Linked DNA regions of Caenorhabditis elegans. The protein of the gene in region 1 interacts with the protein of each later gene in a pairwise test. Each region holds a gene or a part of one and is shown on either strand. Other genes may lie near its edges.

What was found.
Region 2: the proteins of F53A10.2 (region 1) and aha-1 interact in a two-hybrid assay, tested with the Caenorhabditis elegans proteins (one large-scale study listed by BioGRID).

The regions. Positions count from the first base shown.
Region 1 is NC_003280.10:1,221,607-1,231,035, reverse strand, and holds F53A10.2 (Rap-GAP domain-containing protein), read right to left. Parts: upstream 6,686-9,429; coding exon 6,167-6,685; intron 5,269-6,166; coding exon 5,170-5,268; intron 4,926-5,169; coding exon 4,740-4,925; intron 3,939-4,739; coding exon 3,519-3,938; intron 2,767-3,518; coding exon 2,521-2,766; intron 2,107-2,520; coding exon 1,562-2,106; intron 1,391-1,561; coding exon 1,327-1,390; intron 1,275-1,326; coding exon 1,060-1,274; intron 713-1,059; coding exon 571-712; downstream 1-570.
Region 2 is NC_003279.8:10,192,625-10,199,766, forward strand, and holds aha-1 (Aryl hydrocarbon receptor nuclear translocator homolog), read right to left. Parts: upstream 4,374-7,142; 5' UTR 4,367-4,373; coding exon 4,323-4,366; intron 4,160-4,322; coding exon 4,051-4,159; intron 3,607-4,050; coding exon 3,295-3,606; intron 3,244-3,294; coding exon 3,126-3,243; intron 2,842-3,125; coding exon 2,600-2,841; intron 2,557-2,599; coding exon 2,348-2,556; intron 1,863-2,347; coding exon 1,535-1,862; 3' UTR 1,301-1,534; downstream 1-1,300. Other genes in the region: lid-1 (AB hydrolase-1 domain-containing protein), read right to left, coding at 10-115, 171-208; mrpl-34 (Large ribosomal subunit protein mL43), read left to right, coding at 618-837, 933-1,282; C25A1.15 (Transposase), read left to right, coding at 4,697-4,972; Y106G6E.1 (Protein kinase domain-containing protein), read right to left, coding at 5,662-5,787, 5,836-5,952, 6,206-6,480, 6,620-6,812, 6,862-7,004, 7,055-7,142. UniProt on the Caenorhabditis elegans protein: Transcription factor. Efficient DNA binding requires dimerization with another bHLH protein, such as cky-1 or ahr-1. Regulates transcription of target genes, probably acting in complex with cky-1. Has a role in cellular differentiation.

The DNA.
Region 1 (9,429 bases):
ATTTTTCTGAAATTGTACAAAACTACTATAAATTGAAAAAGGACAATTTTTAAGTGTATATACACTAATTTTGAGTCCTCTAGCTACAAAATGAACCATTTTAGAGAAGTTTCAAAATTGGGAATTGTTGCCACTTTTTTGCCATTTTTGCCACTTTTTAATAGTTTTTGATGGGTTTTACCTAAATTTTCTGAATTCTTGATATATGAATTGTGTATTTCTAATTCTGCATTTTTCTAACTATTAAAAAATACACATATTTAATTTTTATTCGAATTGTTGACAAATTTGTATATGAGAAAATTTGGAGAAAAATGAAAAAGTACATAGAAAATATTTTCAGATATATTTATTTTTTTTTTTAATTCTGGAAATGTGAAAACTGGAGATAAAACATCGGGGGATGGAGGTGAAAATTTGAGAGAATATGTATGGAATTTGTGTGATGGAAGAAGATTCTGTGAAATTTCAGACAAAAAAAACTGGAGAAAATAGGTTAAACAGGCCCGCAAGTCATTGAAATAATTGTACCCTGAACATATATTAGTGGAATTTGTAGGTTTTCATTGCTCAAACTGAAACATCCGAATAGCTCCGTTCAAAGTGCTGGTGGACCGGCGCCATATCGCTGTTTGACGGCTTTTTCAGCATCCTCCGCAGCCGCGAAATCTCATCGTTGGCGCGTTCCAGCTCCTCGGAGAGCACACTTTGGCTGAAAGTATTGAAATTATGAGATTCAGTGAAAAACCAGCTTTCGAAATAGTACCCACAAGCCTATGTTTTTAGGACATGATATTTTAGGCCGTTACAGGCCCTCGTAGGCCATTTCAGGCCGCGGATAGGCTTTCGATTTAAGTTTCCAAACTGTGTTAGTGTGCGGAATATTTACTCTTGCTGCAAAATAATAAATCGATTCGAAACCGTTTCAGGCTATTTTAGGCCGTTTCAGGCCGAGCGCAAGCCTGAAAATCTCAATTGTTCGAAATATAGGCTTGTGGGTACTTTTTCGAAAGCTCTCGGTCTTCCGAATTCAAATTGTTCAATTGAAACATTACTAACCGATCCTTTAACTTTTTAATATCAGTTTTGCAGCTAACATTCTGACGTAACAAGTCGTGCTTCTCATTCTGAAGTCGTGTAACATCTACACAAAGGGTCTCGAGACGCTTTGCATCTGAGGACTGATGATTTGCTGCCACGTGGAAGTCATCTACACAAAATGTGCACGATGAAGCCCGAGTTTGACCTGACATTTCTGTGGAGGACATGGATTCCTGGAAATGGAAATTTGTGCTGAAAATTCAAAAAAAAAATTGAAAATCTTACCATTCCAGTATCCGAATCATGCTCGTTATCCGGAGACTCTTGAGATGAAATTTCCCATTCTTTTCTGAAATTTGAATGTGAAAAAAAAATAATTTGGCCAGAAAAATTTTTGGGAAATTTTCTTTGAAAATTTGAATTTCCCGCCAAAACATTCTGTAAATTGTAATCTCCCGCCAACACTTTTTTTTAGAAAATTTGAATTTCCCGCCAAAAAAAAAACCCGCAAACCCCTTACCTATATGGCTTGACAACCTCCTCATCCCTAATCGGTGAGTGTGTCCGGGCACTGGTCGACGAACTCGTCGAGGATATCGATTTTTTAGGCCGTGACGTCACATTAATCGTGGCGGCGCGGTGTGGTACGTGACTAGCCTCCTGAGAAACCGACCGGCTTCTCCCGATAAACGCCTTCTTCACAGATGACAAAATCCCGCCGCCATATGAGTTGGATGACGATGACGTGGTGGCAGCACTTTCGCCACCTGATGACGTGGATTCTAGTAGTGGTGTGGCATAGAACTCGGCACGCTCGCGTAGAGTTGCGTGGAGCCCGTCGAGCAACGAGCTTCTGGTACGCTCGGCAAGTTTGGCGAACTTTGAGCTCTTGTAAGCAGCGTTCTCGGCATTGATTAGCTTGGTGAGCAGGAAATTTCTGAAATCTTGGCCTCGCTTGAAAATCGATGGGGTTGGCAGGGTTGGGCCGAAAAATGGGACGTCATCACGGGCGGCCACGGAGACTCGGTACCTGACACGGTCGGTCAGGGCGTCGATTGGTTGGACCTATAACATTGAAATTTGCGTTTGCCACGTTGAGAGCTTTTAAAAATGTACCCACAAGCCTATGTTTGAAAATAATACGTTTTCGGCCTATTTCAGGGCCTAAATTGGCTTGAAATGGCCTGAGTTGAGATGCTCTTGAATTTGAAATTGGTGAACTTGAAATCAATTTTATTTTAAAAAACAACGGTTTTCAAAAATGAGGGCGACTTGAAACGGCCTGAAACGGCCTGAAACGGCCTGAAACAGCCCAAACGGCCAAGAATAACCATTTCTCCAAAAACTAGGCTTGTAGGTACTTATTTTGAAGCTAATAAGCTGTCAATTTCGAATTTGTTACTAAAAACCTTGGAAAATCAACTTCTAGCCGAAATTTCACGTTTTTCCCCAAAATTTCATCAATCTCTGAAAACGCACCACAACATAGGCGTGCAAAAAGTTTGATGCAATCATATCAGGAGCAAATGGAGTATTAGCCTCCTGAAAGATGATTGCCACAATATCATTTCCAATATGCCGTTTTCTTTGAAGCTGCTGGGCGTCTCCAATAGTATACGGTAGCATTGTTGACACGTGGAACATGATCTCACGATTTTTGAATTCACTGAATACGGACTGATGGCCCGTTTGGTTGTGGGCCGTGTCAAGGCCTCCGCGGTATTTCTGAAATTTAGAAAAATTATAGATTTTTTCGTCATGTCCATTTTGTGGGTGGGGCCTAAGTGACAGCAAAATATGCTTTTTTTTTTGACAAAAAATTTATAAAAAATGTTCTGGAAAAAAGAGCCATTTTGTGGGCGGAGCCTTATTCGACTCCCTTTTTGTAAATTTCAAATTAAATAGTTTACTCGTTATTAGCAAAATTTTGATTAAAAAAATATGAAAAATTTTTGAAAATTTTAGCTTGAAATTATGTTTTCAAATTATTCGTAAAAAATAACAAAATCTAGGCCATTTTGTGGGCGGGGTTTATCAAACCACGCCTATTTTTGTATGGTGCTGAGCTTATAAAAAGTAATTTTCCTTCCCGTTTTCAGTCGAAAATTGAACGTTTTGCTGAAAATACAAAAAAAAAAACTTTTGTGGGCATGGTCTCCTAAGCTCCGCCCCTTTTCTTACTTTTCACGAATGGAAAAGTTAGACAACTTGATGAGAAACTGTGGTTTTGTGACCCAATTTTTTGGGATAAATAATTGTCATTGTGTGGGCGGAGTCGGTGAAGCCCCGCCCATTTGTGGGCGGAGTCTGTAACCACAAAACATATTCTTCAAAAAATTTTAATTTTGAGGAAGAATTTTTTTTCGAAACTTCTTTGTCGATTTTTTTTTTGAATTTTTGGAGTTTTAGAAACCAATGCCATTTTGTGGGCGGAGATTAAATTTCTAGAGATCAAACTTGCCGCTCAATTTGCCTACCTGAAAGCCATTCAACTGCACAGAATCGCCAATCATCGACAAAAACTCGTCAAAAGCCGGGCTCCCGTGTGGATTTCCGAAAAGTTGCTCCTCAGTCGTCTGTCCGCCTTTTTGATAGATAACTCCAAATTTATAGGTATTCGTGAGCACATGCTCATCATACTGTACAATAAGCTCAGAACCACCGGGGAATGCCACCGGAGAGAACTGCTCAGTGGTGATCTCCTCGCAGAGCAGCTTAGCCATCCGGGAAGCCGATGGGCGGTCGGCTAGTGCGGTAGCTGACACAATTTCATGGATGGTACCTTTACGGGTACGGAGAATGATACGGAAATGGTCACAGGAGGAGATGACTTCTGTGCGGACGCTAAGGACCAGTGGGCCTACGATTGGGTCGTTGGCGAAGAAGTCGTGGTGCTCCTGAAAAATTTTACGTCGAAGTTATGGCAATTTTGATTGAAAATTTGAATTTGTCGTAAAAAATGGTTTTCAACATGTACCCACAAGACTATGTTTTGAAAACTACTCATTTTAGGCATTTTTAGGCCGTTTCAGGCCGATCTAGGCTGTTACTAGGCCTGAAATTTTGTATTGTCTTTTTATATGTGATCAGATGATAGATACCAGCATATTTGATTTTTGAATCCATTTTCAACAAATCTAATTAAACAAGGCCGTTTCAGGCCGTTTTAGGTCGCTTCAGGCCTCAGTTAGACTGAAAATCTATTTCTTTAGAATATAGGCTTGTGGGTATGTTTCTGAAAGCTCTCGGTTTCAACAATGCGAATATTGACAAAAATAATACGTTACTACTAGGCCCTGTGCAAAATTGTCACAAAATTGGAAATAAAATTTGGTCGATTTTTGAAAACCTAGCACTTCTAGGCTCAAAACTCAAATGCAACAAATATAAGTCAAAAATTCAAAATTACTATGTTATAGGCTTTTATTCAAGTACCCACAAGCCTATGTTTCTAGAAATAGTTATTTCAAGCCCTTACAGGCCGATTTAAGCCGTGCACAAACCTGGAAAACGATATTGCTAAAAACAAGGCTAGTGGGCTGCTTTACTGTCGTTTTTTGTAACATTAACCGTGCGAATCAAAAAAAGGCCGATTCAGGCCGTTTCAGGCCGCCTACAAGCCAAAACTTTTTTTTTGGAATATAGGCTTGTGGGTACTTTTCTGAAAGCTCTCCATGCGTAGAATTCAAAAAACCTACTCTTCCAAAGAAATGTCGGCGATAACAATGACTAGTCTCGTCGGTTTCCAGCTTGAATCTGGCACAACTGTTCACATTCATATTATTGACTTGATCATCCATATGGTGCTGTTGATTGACTCCATCCATCCAAAATCCATTTGATGGTAGCACTATTTGTGGATATGGGCCCACTTTTGTTAGGACCTGGAAAAATGGAAGTTTTGGAAATTTTTTGAGAATTTTAGAGAATTTTTTGAATGGAATACTACAAGTTTTTGCCAATTTCTAACACAAAAAATACCAAAAAATTCCTTGAAAACTCGTTTTTTTTCTCGTTTTTTTCTCACGAAAAGCAAACATTTCCATGAGTACTACTAGGTACTATTTACTTTTTCGTAGTGTGAGAATTTGTGCAAATACTAGAGAGCAAAAGTGACCACATATGTACCTCATTCATAATATTCCTGGTCAATTGATTGTGTACGGCGGATCCGTTGGTTTTTTGATGAGTTTGCTCATTTTGGTGACCGGAAGTTGGGTTGTGAGTCTGGAAAAATGAAGGTTAAGGGGATTTTCGAGGTTTTCTAAGTGGTTTTGTGGGATTTGAAGTCATTTTTCTCAATTTTCAGTATTTTTTTCAAAATCAGTATGCTTGGTTACCCGTATTCCCAAATTTTCAGCCTTCTAGCTCAAATTTTGGCGAATTGGCTGAGTAGCGACCCAGTTAATCACGGAGTTTTGTCAGGTTTAATGGAAAATTGCTGAGAACTTTGGAGCTGCTGTAAAACTTTGCGTAGATTACAAAAATCGGTGCAAAGTATAAGAATTTTAAGTTGTAACAATATTGGATCCTGAACTTTTTGTACTATATGTATACTAGGAGCAAAAATCATTTTTTAAATTGAAATGAATTTTTTAAATAAATTTTCTGAATTCAGCACAAAAAAACTGACACCATACATGAATTTGGATTCTAGCTCAATTTTTGGAGAATTAACTGAGTAGCGGCTCAGTGTGATACGGAGTTTGCTCAATTTCAGAGTTTTCAGGCTGAAAATTTTAGGATAAGTGTGACAAAATTCGCTGATTATGGTGAGAGACAGAAAAATTTCAGTTTTTGGTGAATTGACTGAGTAGCGACTCAGTTTAGTTTTCTCAATTTCAGAGTTTTTCGGCAGAAAATTATATTGCTCAACCTATCTCTATAAAAATTGACAAAAATCAGTACAAAAATGCAGCACAAATTTAAGTCTAAGCCTAGGCCTAGGCCAAAGCCTAAGCCTAAACATAATCCTAAGCCTAAACCTAAGCCTAAGCGCATAAGCCTATGCATAAGCCTAAACCTAAGCCTAAGCCTAAGCCTAAGCAGAAGCTAAAATAGCTTAAACTTCAAATTGGCTGAATAGCGACTCAGTTTCAGCCCCCCAAAACCGATCCCTCCTTACAAATCCAGAAATCTCATGCAACGAGACCGTCGACGAAATAAGCGTGGGCGGTCCAACAACTCCCAAATTTTTGAATTTCGCGGGCCTCCCCACGGCCGCCTTCTTGGCCATCAGGCCCTGAATCAACTCCAGCGGACCCTTCGAGTGCCGTCTATTCGACTTGATAATCCCTGGCAGAGACTCCGTAGAAGTCGTCCTCCATCGTATCGCCTGTGATGACGTGGCATGCTTCATGTTCTCCATAGCCATCAGAAGCTTATCAGCAGCCATCACCTTGAACTCATCCTCCTTGTTAAGCTCAATACAAGAAGCCCGGCGGGATTTTAGGCTTGAAAAATCGGAGCATTTATCATTTTCCGACGCCGTGGAGGAGTCTGAAGAGGTGCTGCCAGTGGATCTCAGATTGTATTGTGACGTGGCATGCCGCAACGGAGCCAGCCTCCGAATCACGGGCGGTAGATGACGTGGCAACTCGTCTAGATCATCCTCGGACTCGGATGAGTCTATAAAGTGGAGCATTCGTCTAGTTGAAGCTAGACGTCTTGGGCTACAACTGATAGGAGATTGAGCTTGAAATATCGAGAAATAATCGGGAGACGGAAGCATTTTTTCCAGGGGAAAAATGGATAGAAATGGTCAAAAAATGGGGAGAATGATGGGGGAGATGGTTTTGAACAAATAATAGGAAATGGATGCGCCCTAAATGTGTATGTATGTATATGTTTGTATATATATTTGTATGTTTTGAGAGGTGTGGAAGAGTGAATGAAAAATGATGAAACGAACACATGAATGCACTTTAGGCAAAGAGAAAAAGTTCGGAGAAGTGGCGGGAATATTGGCTGAGTAGCAACTTAAGTCCAGGAGTAGGTGTTGGCTAAGGCTGAGGCGTAGGCTTAGGCCTAGGCTAAGATTCAGGCTCAAGTTTAGGTCTAGGCTTAGACATAGGCATAGGATTAGGCTTAGGTTTAGGTTTAGATTTGAGATTGGGCATAGTCGCTGAAATATTGGCTGAGTAGCGACTCAAAAAGTTTGACTCAGGCATAGGCTTTAATTTAAGCTTAAACACAGTTTAGGCTCAAGATAAGTCTTATGCTTAGGCTTATACTTAGGCTTAGGCTTAGGATGATGCTCAGGCTTCGGATTCGGCTTAGGATTAGGCTCAGGTTTGGGCTTTGCCTTAGGCTTCGGCTTAGGCGTAGGGTTGAGATTGGGCTTAGGCTTAGACTTAGGCTTGAGCTTAGGCTTAGACTTAGGCTCATGCTACGGCTTCTGCTTAGGCTTAGGCTTAAGACTTAGACTTAGGCTTGAATTTTAGCTCCATTTTTATACGGAGTTCTGCCAATTTTTATGAGGATAGGTTGAAAATTTTGTTGTAGCTTTATAAAGTGGCGAGATACTTTTTTAAAAATATTAAGATGTGATCTACAAAAAATGCGGGAATTTCCTGTGGAGGAAAATGTGACGTCAGCACGCTCTCAACCATACAAAATCTGTTGAGAAGTCTGCTCCACATTAAATTCCCGCATTTTTGGTAGATCACACCGAAATGGGACACTTTGACACCACATGTGAAAAAAAAGTTTCATGGCAATTAAGAAAACTCCGCATCACAGTGTTTATCGAGTCGCTACTCAGCGAAAGTTAGAGAAAGTTAAAGTAGAACCCCTAAAACTCATGCTGAATTTGAATTTCACATTGAAAATTGCTAAAAATTCCAGTTCATTTATACGACCGTAAACTAATTAAAAACTTGGGCGAATAGGTAAAATTTGGTTCTAAATCTGATTTTCACATTTTAAATTTAGAAAATACAGCTCCAAAAGCCCCTAAAATCAATAAAAACTCCAAACTCACAAGGGAAGTCTTTGAGGGGGTCCGTAGATTTGGGGTTCTCATGCTAAAATTCCTACAGAAGAGTGTTAGTTATGATCTCTCCAAAAAATTTAGCTGCCCCGGTCAAGTTTCAGCAAAGTTATGACGTTTTGAAATTTCAGTTAAAAACACCATTGAAATCCACTGTCTAGCCATGCAGTCCACGCAAATCTCAGCTTGCGTGACCACCGAAAATGTGACACCCACCACATTGAGTTGAAAAATGTCCTCGGTGGCCGAGTTGGGAGTGCGCGCGTCTGATAAGATTTAAGCTTTGGTTCGATTCCTTCTATTTTTGAAATATTTTTGTAAGTTGAATAAAGTTGTAAAACAACTCATTCAAACATTTTTGCGCATTTTTAAAGTGATTTTATTCTTATTCGGGAACCTAGAATCATTGTCCGCACTTTTTGGAAATTTTTATTTTTTTCATTTTTGCTCAAAATTTCTTGATCAACTCCAAGCAAAAAATTCAAAAAATTTCATTTTTCTAAACAATTATGAAATTGCTATGTTGTTGTTCAGAAATGTATGAAACGTACATTACACAAGTTTTAACTCTCTATTCGCAAGTAAACCGTCGAAATGATCTACATCTCACGAACTTTGTGCAAAATATTTAGCCAACTTTGAAGTTGCATAACTTCGTTGAGATAAATTATTTTGAAAAATGATCAACTAACAAAATGTTTGTTGAATAATAGTGAACAAAGTTTTAGTTATAAACTTTTTGATACAAAAATATTTCAAAAATAGAAGGAATCGAACCAAAGCTTAAATCTTATCAGACGCGCGCACTCCCAACTCGGCCACCGAGGACATTTTTCAACTCAATGTGGTGGGTGTCACATTTTCGGTGGTCACGCAAGCTGAGATTTGCGTGGACTGCATGGCTAGACAGTGGATTTCAATGGTGTTTTTAACTGAAATTTCAAAACGTCATAACTTTGCTGAAACTTGACCGGGGCAGCTAAATTTTTTGGAGAGATCATAACTAACACTCTTCTGTAGGAATTTTAGCATGAGAACCCCAAATCTACGGACCCCCTCAAAGACTTCCCTTGTCAGTAGGTTTGACACCAACTAATAAATCATTTTTCCGTCTCCAACCTGGGAGGACGCCGTAACGGAAGAGTAGCTAAACGTCTTGAGAAGAAAAATTTTCGTCCCTCGTTTTTAGTATGAGACGGGATAATTGGCAGAAACTGGTCAGGTGTCTCTGGGTCATTAGGACCCCACAGGCCAACCAACAAAAAAGTGAAATCTGTAATTGGTCAGAAAATAGTGGGGTAAATGGTCGAAGAACTGGGTGTTTAAAGGGGGACAATGGCAGATTTTGGTCTAGAAATTTGACCTTTTTGAGTAAAAATTAGGGTATGGTGGGGTTA
Region 2 (7,142 bases), on another chromosome or scaffold:
CTCACTCACCGGGACATATTTGGCTTCGTATGATACTTCGCAAGACTGAAACAGACGTCCCTCGACAATTTTTAGTTGTTCCTTCGAGTCATCCGTGAATGTCATCCAATTCATTCTGAAAACCGTAGTTTTATTTGAACAGCAAGCATCAAATATTAATAAATACTTACATTGTTGTTAATGCAGTTTTTGTCGTTGCAATTGCCATCTGAAAACAAAAAAATGTTGGCTAGAGTGTGGCTAAATAGGGGGCAAAGTGCAATAACAAGAAGAAATCACAGGAAAAAAATTTTGTCCTCGTGTACGACACGGCCGTGGCCTAGAATTCTCGGAGCTTCAAATGGAATTTATTAATTTTTTGGCTCGATATTTTCAACAAAATCTCTTGATATGTGATGATTAGTCACGTTTTTTCTATTTTAATGAAATTTGTTTGTGTAAATAACCTCGCGAAACCTGTTTTCGCATCAGCTGTCGTCGCTTTTGAACAAGACGCTCGTATTCTTTTCATTAGAGCGCCGTTGCCTTTCTTCATTTTGCCAATTTAACAGTACGATTTCTTATATTCTATTTCAATATTATACTTAAAGTTTATTTTATCAAACTCTCATTTTTAGATGCCATCGGTTCCACGTGTTGATCGCCTCAAACCCATTTACACAGCCGCAAAAGCTCTGAACTTTGGATGGCGATTTTCTGATTTTCTGAAAATTCCGGCTTATAATGGAATCTCGCGTTACACCAACCAACTTCATCGCATCACTGTCAGGTTTTGCAAACAAAGTGAATCCAGTGTCGGAGTTCGCAATTTTATTGAGAATCAACTCGTTGAAATCGGTAAGAATTTCTGTCTACGATCAAAAAATTAATAGAGAATCTAAATTAAAAGCTTCATTTTTTTTTAAATAAAGAAGGAAATCCGTTTTTTTCAGGCCGTAAAAACCCATCAGTTGTGATCTATGCCCAGCCTGTGCGAAACTCGAACCCATCAATCCGCGCAGAATATGGAAATGGTCGGACTCTACAGATCAATGCAAAAAACATGACACAAGACGAAGTGAGCAAAGATGTGCATTTGTTATTCTCAAGAAGCGGCGAACCAGTTGTGAAGCTAGAGAGTCGTCAAAGTGCATTGGTTCCTTCTATTCAAGGTCAATGGACACCGATAACATGGCTTCCAACAGAAATGAACACGGAACAACTTCCAGCGAAACAGTTCTCAAAGCACAAGTCAACGGCAACGTCGGCGACGGAATATATTCTTCAAAATCCACCAAAATAAGCAATAATCCGTTATTTTATAGTTGTTTTCATTTATTCGTTGTTTTCTTTTGATTTTTTGACAATATTATTAGTAATAAAATTTAGTGTTCAGAATGAGTTGAATAACTCGTTGGTCCAGAAAAAAGGAAAAATACTGAACAGAAAAGTTAAGGAAATTGAAAAAAAAAGAAAACTTTTCAAGAAGTAGATAGAAATGAGAATCATTGGAATAGGCTTCAAAAAAAAATATATCAATTTCTAGAAATTATAATCACTGGTTATATCCATTCATCGGGTCCCATTGCCATTGTGCCTGTGGTGCTCCTTGAGCTTCAGGTCTCCATCCTCCACTACTCGATTGTCCGTAATCCACAGCACTTGGAGCACCGCCGAGCTCTCCAAATTCACTGGCTTGAGGTTGAGGAACAGTTGGTGCAGTGACCCAATTATTAATATCTTCTTGTGGAGCAATTTGATGTGTTGCAACCACGTATTCGAACTGTTCCGAGTATGGATTCATGAATTTGTATGCAGACACAGTACATGGAATGTAATCAGTACTGGTACGTACTCGAATATTTATTCTCATTGGTTGGTCACTGAAATGGAAATGTTTTTATTTAGTTAACATGGAATCTACTGCTATAGGTTTAAAGGAAAGTACATTTTTCGAAATGGTCCCGCCACGAATATTATTCGTGAAAAATTCGCCTGAAAATATTCCCTAGAACCGCGAAAATTACGATTAAAAAACTACGGTACCTGGTCTCGACAAGACAAATGTTTGTTTAATGAAAAAGGTTTGAGCCTTTAAAAAGTACGGTAATTTTAATGTTTCTACTCAATTCTCTTTGGTTTTTCATAGTTTTTTTGATAAAGGTATATTTATTTGTTTAAAAACTCACATAAGACAACATGTATTTTTACAAATAGTGAGAAAAACTATGAAAAATCGACGAAAATTCTACAGAGTAGAAAGTTTGAAATTGCAGTACTCTTTAAAACCGCACACACTCTTGAAAGCAGGTAATATGAAATTTGATGGACGCAAATTGTTCAAAAAGGTTTTTTTACGAAAACTTACCTTAAAAGAGCCACAAATGAGTCTTGAAGGGTCTTCTCATCTGCTGGATGTGCAAGATTCCACCAATATCTTCCGATAAGTTGATCACTGCTCAAACCAATTAAATCACTAACCCTCGCATCAATAAATGTCATTTTTCCATCTTCCGAAACACGAACCGAAAATTGATTTGTTGATGTTGGATCAGCACAGACCGGCATTGATGCTACCTTTAATTAAATCACGTTTATCTGCATCGTAAACTATTCTAACCTGTAACCTGGCAATTGCCACCAAACAAGATGAAGCTGGAGCATTAATTCCCTGTGGTGGAGCATTTTTGATATATCCTGTGCAATGCATCACAACGTAATTTTGACCAGCATGTTGGAATAAGGGACGGCGATTTCTGAGACGATGAAGTGGTTCAAGGGCTCCGACACGCATTCGACAGATGAATCCACGACGACATGACATATGAACTCGTGTTGATGCTCCTTCGCGTTTCACTGATCCTAAAATTCAATGATTTTGATAGTTAACTTGAAGTGGGTTACTGTACTTTTAAAGATACACACATTTTAAGAGCGAGCAGATACCTTTTTGACGGAAAATCACAAATTTTGGGCATGCCAAAATCTAGTGAAATTACAATAGATGCTTTTAAAACAAATACTACTTAATTCGATTGACTGAAGTAAGTGGTTATTACTGTAAACGGTTCCAAGTTATATGACTACTTTGGAAAAAATTCAAAAAATCCTTGAATCTCTCCTCTTCTCTTTTTATGATAACTCACCAGATTTCAAATCGAGAACTTTATTAACTGATACTTCACTTCCACACAATTGATCTCTAATTTTATCTTGATCATCTGGATGTATGAGTTCATTCAAATTTCTTTGAAGCCAATCTTCCTAAAAATTAATATTTATATTTCAATAATGAAAGATTCAAATCTTGCTCACCTGCTTCAAATTAAGTACGGGAGTAATTGAATCAGCAACATATAACACTTTTCCAGTCTGACAACAAACAACAAAAAGAAATCCATTCGCTGCTTCTAGAATCAAATGTTTCAATTCTTGATCCGTAAGAAATGATGGTTTATATGAAGTTTCATCTTGTGCCGTATGTCCTCGAATTCCTTTCATGTGTGATACTGCCATTCGGAGAATCGTTAGTTTATCGGGTTTACGTCCAAGTGATGCACATTGTGGAACCATTTCGGCTAATTCATTTATGTAATGAGTCATTTTGTTACGGCGACGTCGCTCAATCTAAAACGTTTTCAGTTGAATTTGAAGCAAGAAATTTTACTTTTTCCATATTGAATTTTGATTTCAGAAATTTCAACCAAAGGGTTGGTAAATTGCCAAATTTTTAAACTTTTAGTTTTTAGTTTAATACTTGCAGAAAGAAAGATTTTTCGGTCGGCTTCCGAATTCATGATATGTGAAACTCTAAAATTGTGCCTATTTGAATTTTAATTATACAGTTTGAAATAATTTTTTAAAAAGTTCTCTATGACTCGATAATTTTAGCACCATATGTAGAAATTTTTAAAAAATTTAAAATCGCTGGAAATTTAATTTTGAGTTGTGTTACGTCCCATGAAAATTGCAGTTTTACAGGTCAAACAATACCCAGAGTATCGTACTTTTTATTTGAATTAATGAAACATAGCAGTATAAATTTTCAGATATAAATGTTCAAAACCTCACCTCTGAATGATTTTCCCTTGCAAATCTTTCCTTATTCTCTCCCATTTCATCTTCCATTCGAGCATATTTTCCAGATGGCATGCCCATATCTTCATCTTCCATTGCGAAGCTGAAATTATTTAAAATTTAAAATATAAGTTTAGAAGTATCCAAAAATAACCAGCAATAAGCATATCTGAATAGTTGTATTGCATAGAAAACCAATTTTAATCAACACATTTTTTGCAATAAAAAGCCATAACTTAAGCTAATAATGTCACACTATGCCTTACCTCGTCGCCGATTGCCATGGATCCATAAATATATCCTGAGCCATTCTGAAAACTATAAAGAAAAGTTTTTTTCTGTCGAAAAGAAGAATTGAAAGACACCAAAACAAATTATAGGCAATTGAATATATTAGGTGAAGAATTTAAAAAATTGAATTTTAAAACAAGTTGTGCAATGGATCGAGAGTAAATCAATTAATTATGTAAATCGTCGCTTCCTTGCCCGATGAGAGAGAAAGTATGGAAAATCTAGAGTAAGATGCGTCAGAGAATACTCTCCATTGTAGACACAATGTCTTTAAACACGCGATACGTATGTCTGAGTCTCCATTTTTCATATACTCTCACCAATCAATATTTCTTTAGGATGATGGGGGATGGGAAAGGAATGGTGTGAGAGAGAGGGGCGTGCGCGCTTTTTCTATTTGTCCAGTACCTCGTCACCAAACACCGTTGAGGACCGTATTATTACTATGAAGAGAGAAAGAAATGAAAAGAAATTGAGAGTGACCCCCCTACATATGGTCACTGGATATTTGAGAGAAGAAGCAACAGATGGAATTAGAGGGGAGAGACTTTTTAAGGATGATGAAGGAGGAAACGGAAAAAAATTAGAAGATGATGGATGGATGATAGGGCATATAAAAATGTGATAGTGATAATGCAAGAAAATAAGTGAAATAATGCACGCATTTATAGTGTGACCAGTATTTGAAAGTTGAATGACCACAATTGATTGATCAAATTTTTTTAACTTTCACACTCTCAATTAAAATCATTTTTTATTTGAAAGAAAACCTTTTGCATAGGCCCCTATAAAACATTCTGCTACATGCCTCGCACTTTGAACTAAAAAATATCGACCTGAAAACTGTTCCTTGGATGTTTCCAACTTTCGAGTTTTGTGAAATTGTTCCAAAAGTGTAGTTTTTTATCAAGTTAAAGTTTTCTTTCTAAAAAAACACACATAATTCAAGCTTTCAGAATGTTTGTTTCAGATCGACTTTTCCACTCGGCCTTTTGTAGATTTAGAATGCACTAGAGTTTGGCATAAGTTTGATTTTATTCATGTCAAACTTTGACCCAAACCTTTCTTGTATTGTTTTAAACTGTTGAAAAAAATATTGTCGCTGCCAAATTCTGGCAAAAAGTTGGTGTACAATGCCAAGCAGTCCAAGGCGCTCTTCGCCAGAGGAGCCATAGGACGAAACTCCATATTCAAATTAGTTATGCTTCTAAAAAGACAGATATAGTGACATATATTTCAATTTGGAGACCCCATTCAGAACTGTTCATATATTACAAAATTGATAATCTAAATATCAGTGCTCTTTTCTCGAATTCAACTCGTCTGCTCAACCGATTCATTCGTCAAAGTTGTATCTCCAGATTTCACGGATTGTAAGTCGACTGCAGAAAGACACAAAATCTTCTTTTTATTGAATCTCACCGTTTTCTCGTTGAATAACTAAAATCATTATGTTAGGTGACAATCATAAGGTTCAGATAAACTTACCACATTAAAGTACGGATGAGTGAGAATCTCAATTCCAGAGAGACGCTTGTTCGGATTGTAGACAAGGATTTGAAGAAGAACTGCTACTGACTCTTTCATGTCATCTTGCTCAATTTTCTGAAAAACAACTCTCTGGAGGTTTTCTTAAAGCTTTTTGCCTGAAACCGATTTGATTCCACATGCGCCTTATCGTTTGGTGCCTACTCTGTGCCTATCTTGTACCTAGCTTGTGCCGCGCAATCAATAACAGACTAGTGGTACATCAAATCGGTTTCAAATGTTAAGATGGTTCCGAATGTAGCACTTAAAACCGGTCGCTGATGAAAATTGTCTGAATTTTCAATGAACTCGTTCTTCGTATAATAATTACCGTATTATAGACTGTAGTTCTCCGATCCTTCTGATAAATGACTGTCTGTGTGTAGAGATAAGTCAAGTCGGCAGTTGTCTTCGATTTATTATATTCATATGAATCCAAAACTTCCTGCAACTTCGTGCTGCTCACTTTCATTGATGACACATCAGAATCTGTTGGGTATCCGAGCATATCGAAAATGACCTCCGCTTGATTGTTCGATGATTTTCCAGCCAAGATGATTCCGCCTTTCAGTAGCTCTCCAAATACACATCCGCAAGACCACGTGTCTGAAAAATTATATTCTAGCAAAAAACTCCAAGACTTGCTCAAGGTAACTAATAGTAAACTTGGGCTTAGTAAGAATTCACCAACAAGCATCTAACAAAATTATCAGATAATTTGAATATTTTTTCAGAATTTTCTTACCAATTTTGCATCCATAGTACTTGGAGCCTAAAATCAATTCTGGTGGTCTGTAGTATCTCGTGACATGATAACTTTGCTGTGGTGATTTTGTAGATTGGATGGACGATGAGCCAAAATCAGATATTTTCAGCAGACCTGTTTCGGCGTTGTAGAGTAGATTTTGAGGCTTGATGTCTCTGTGACAAATGTCAGCCTTAAAATTCCAGATTGAATGGGAGACATATTCAAAAAAATAACTGCACCTTCTCCAAATGTGCTTGTCCTCGAAACAATTGCCAGACAATAAGCTTCACTTCTACAATGTCAATCCGGCGGTTTTTGTCTTTTAGAAACTGATAAAGATTCAATGGAATGTACTCGAAAATCAGAGCAAGACAAATACGACCTGAATATTTGTAATTTGCTTATTATTCTATCAACTAAGCGTGCTCACACCTTCATGTTGTTTCTGATAGCTGTACAACAAACGAACAATATTCCGATGCTTCAACTTTCCCAACTGTCCAAGAATCTTCACTTCCAT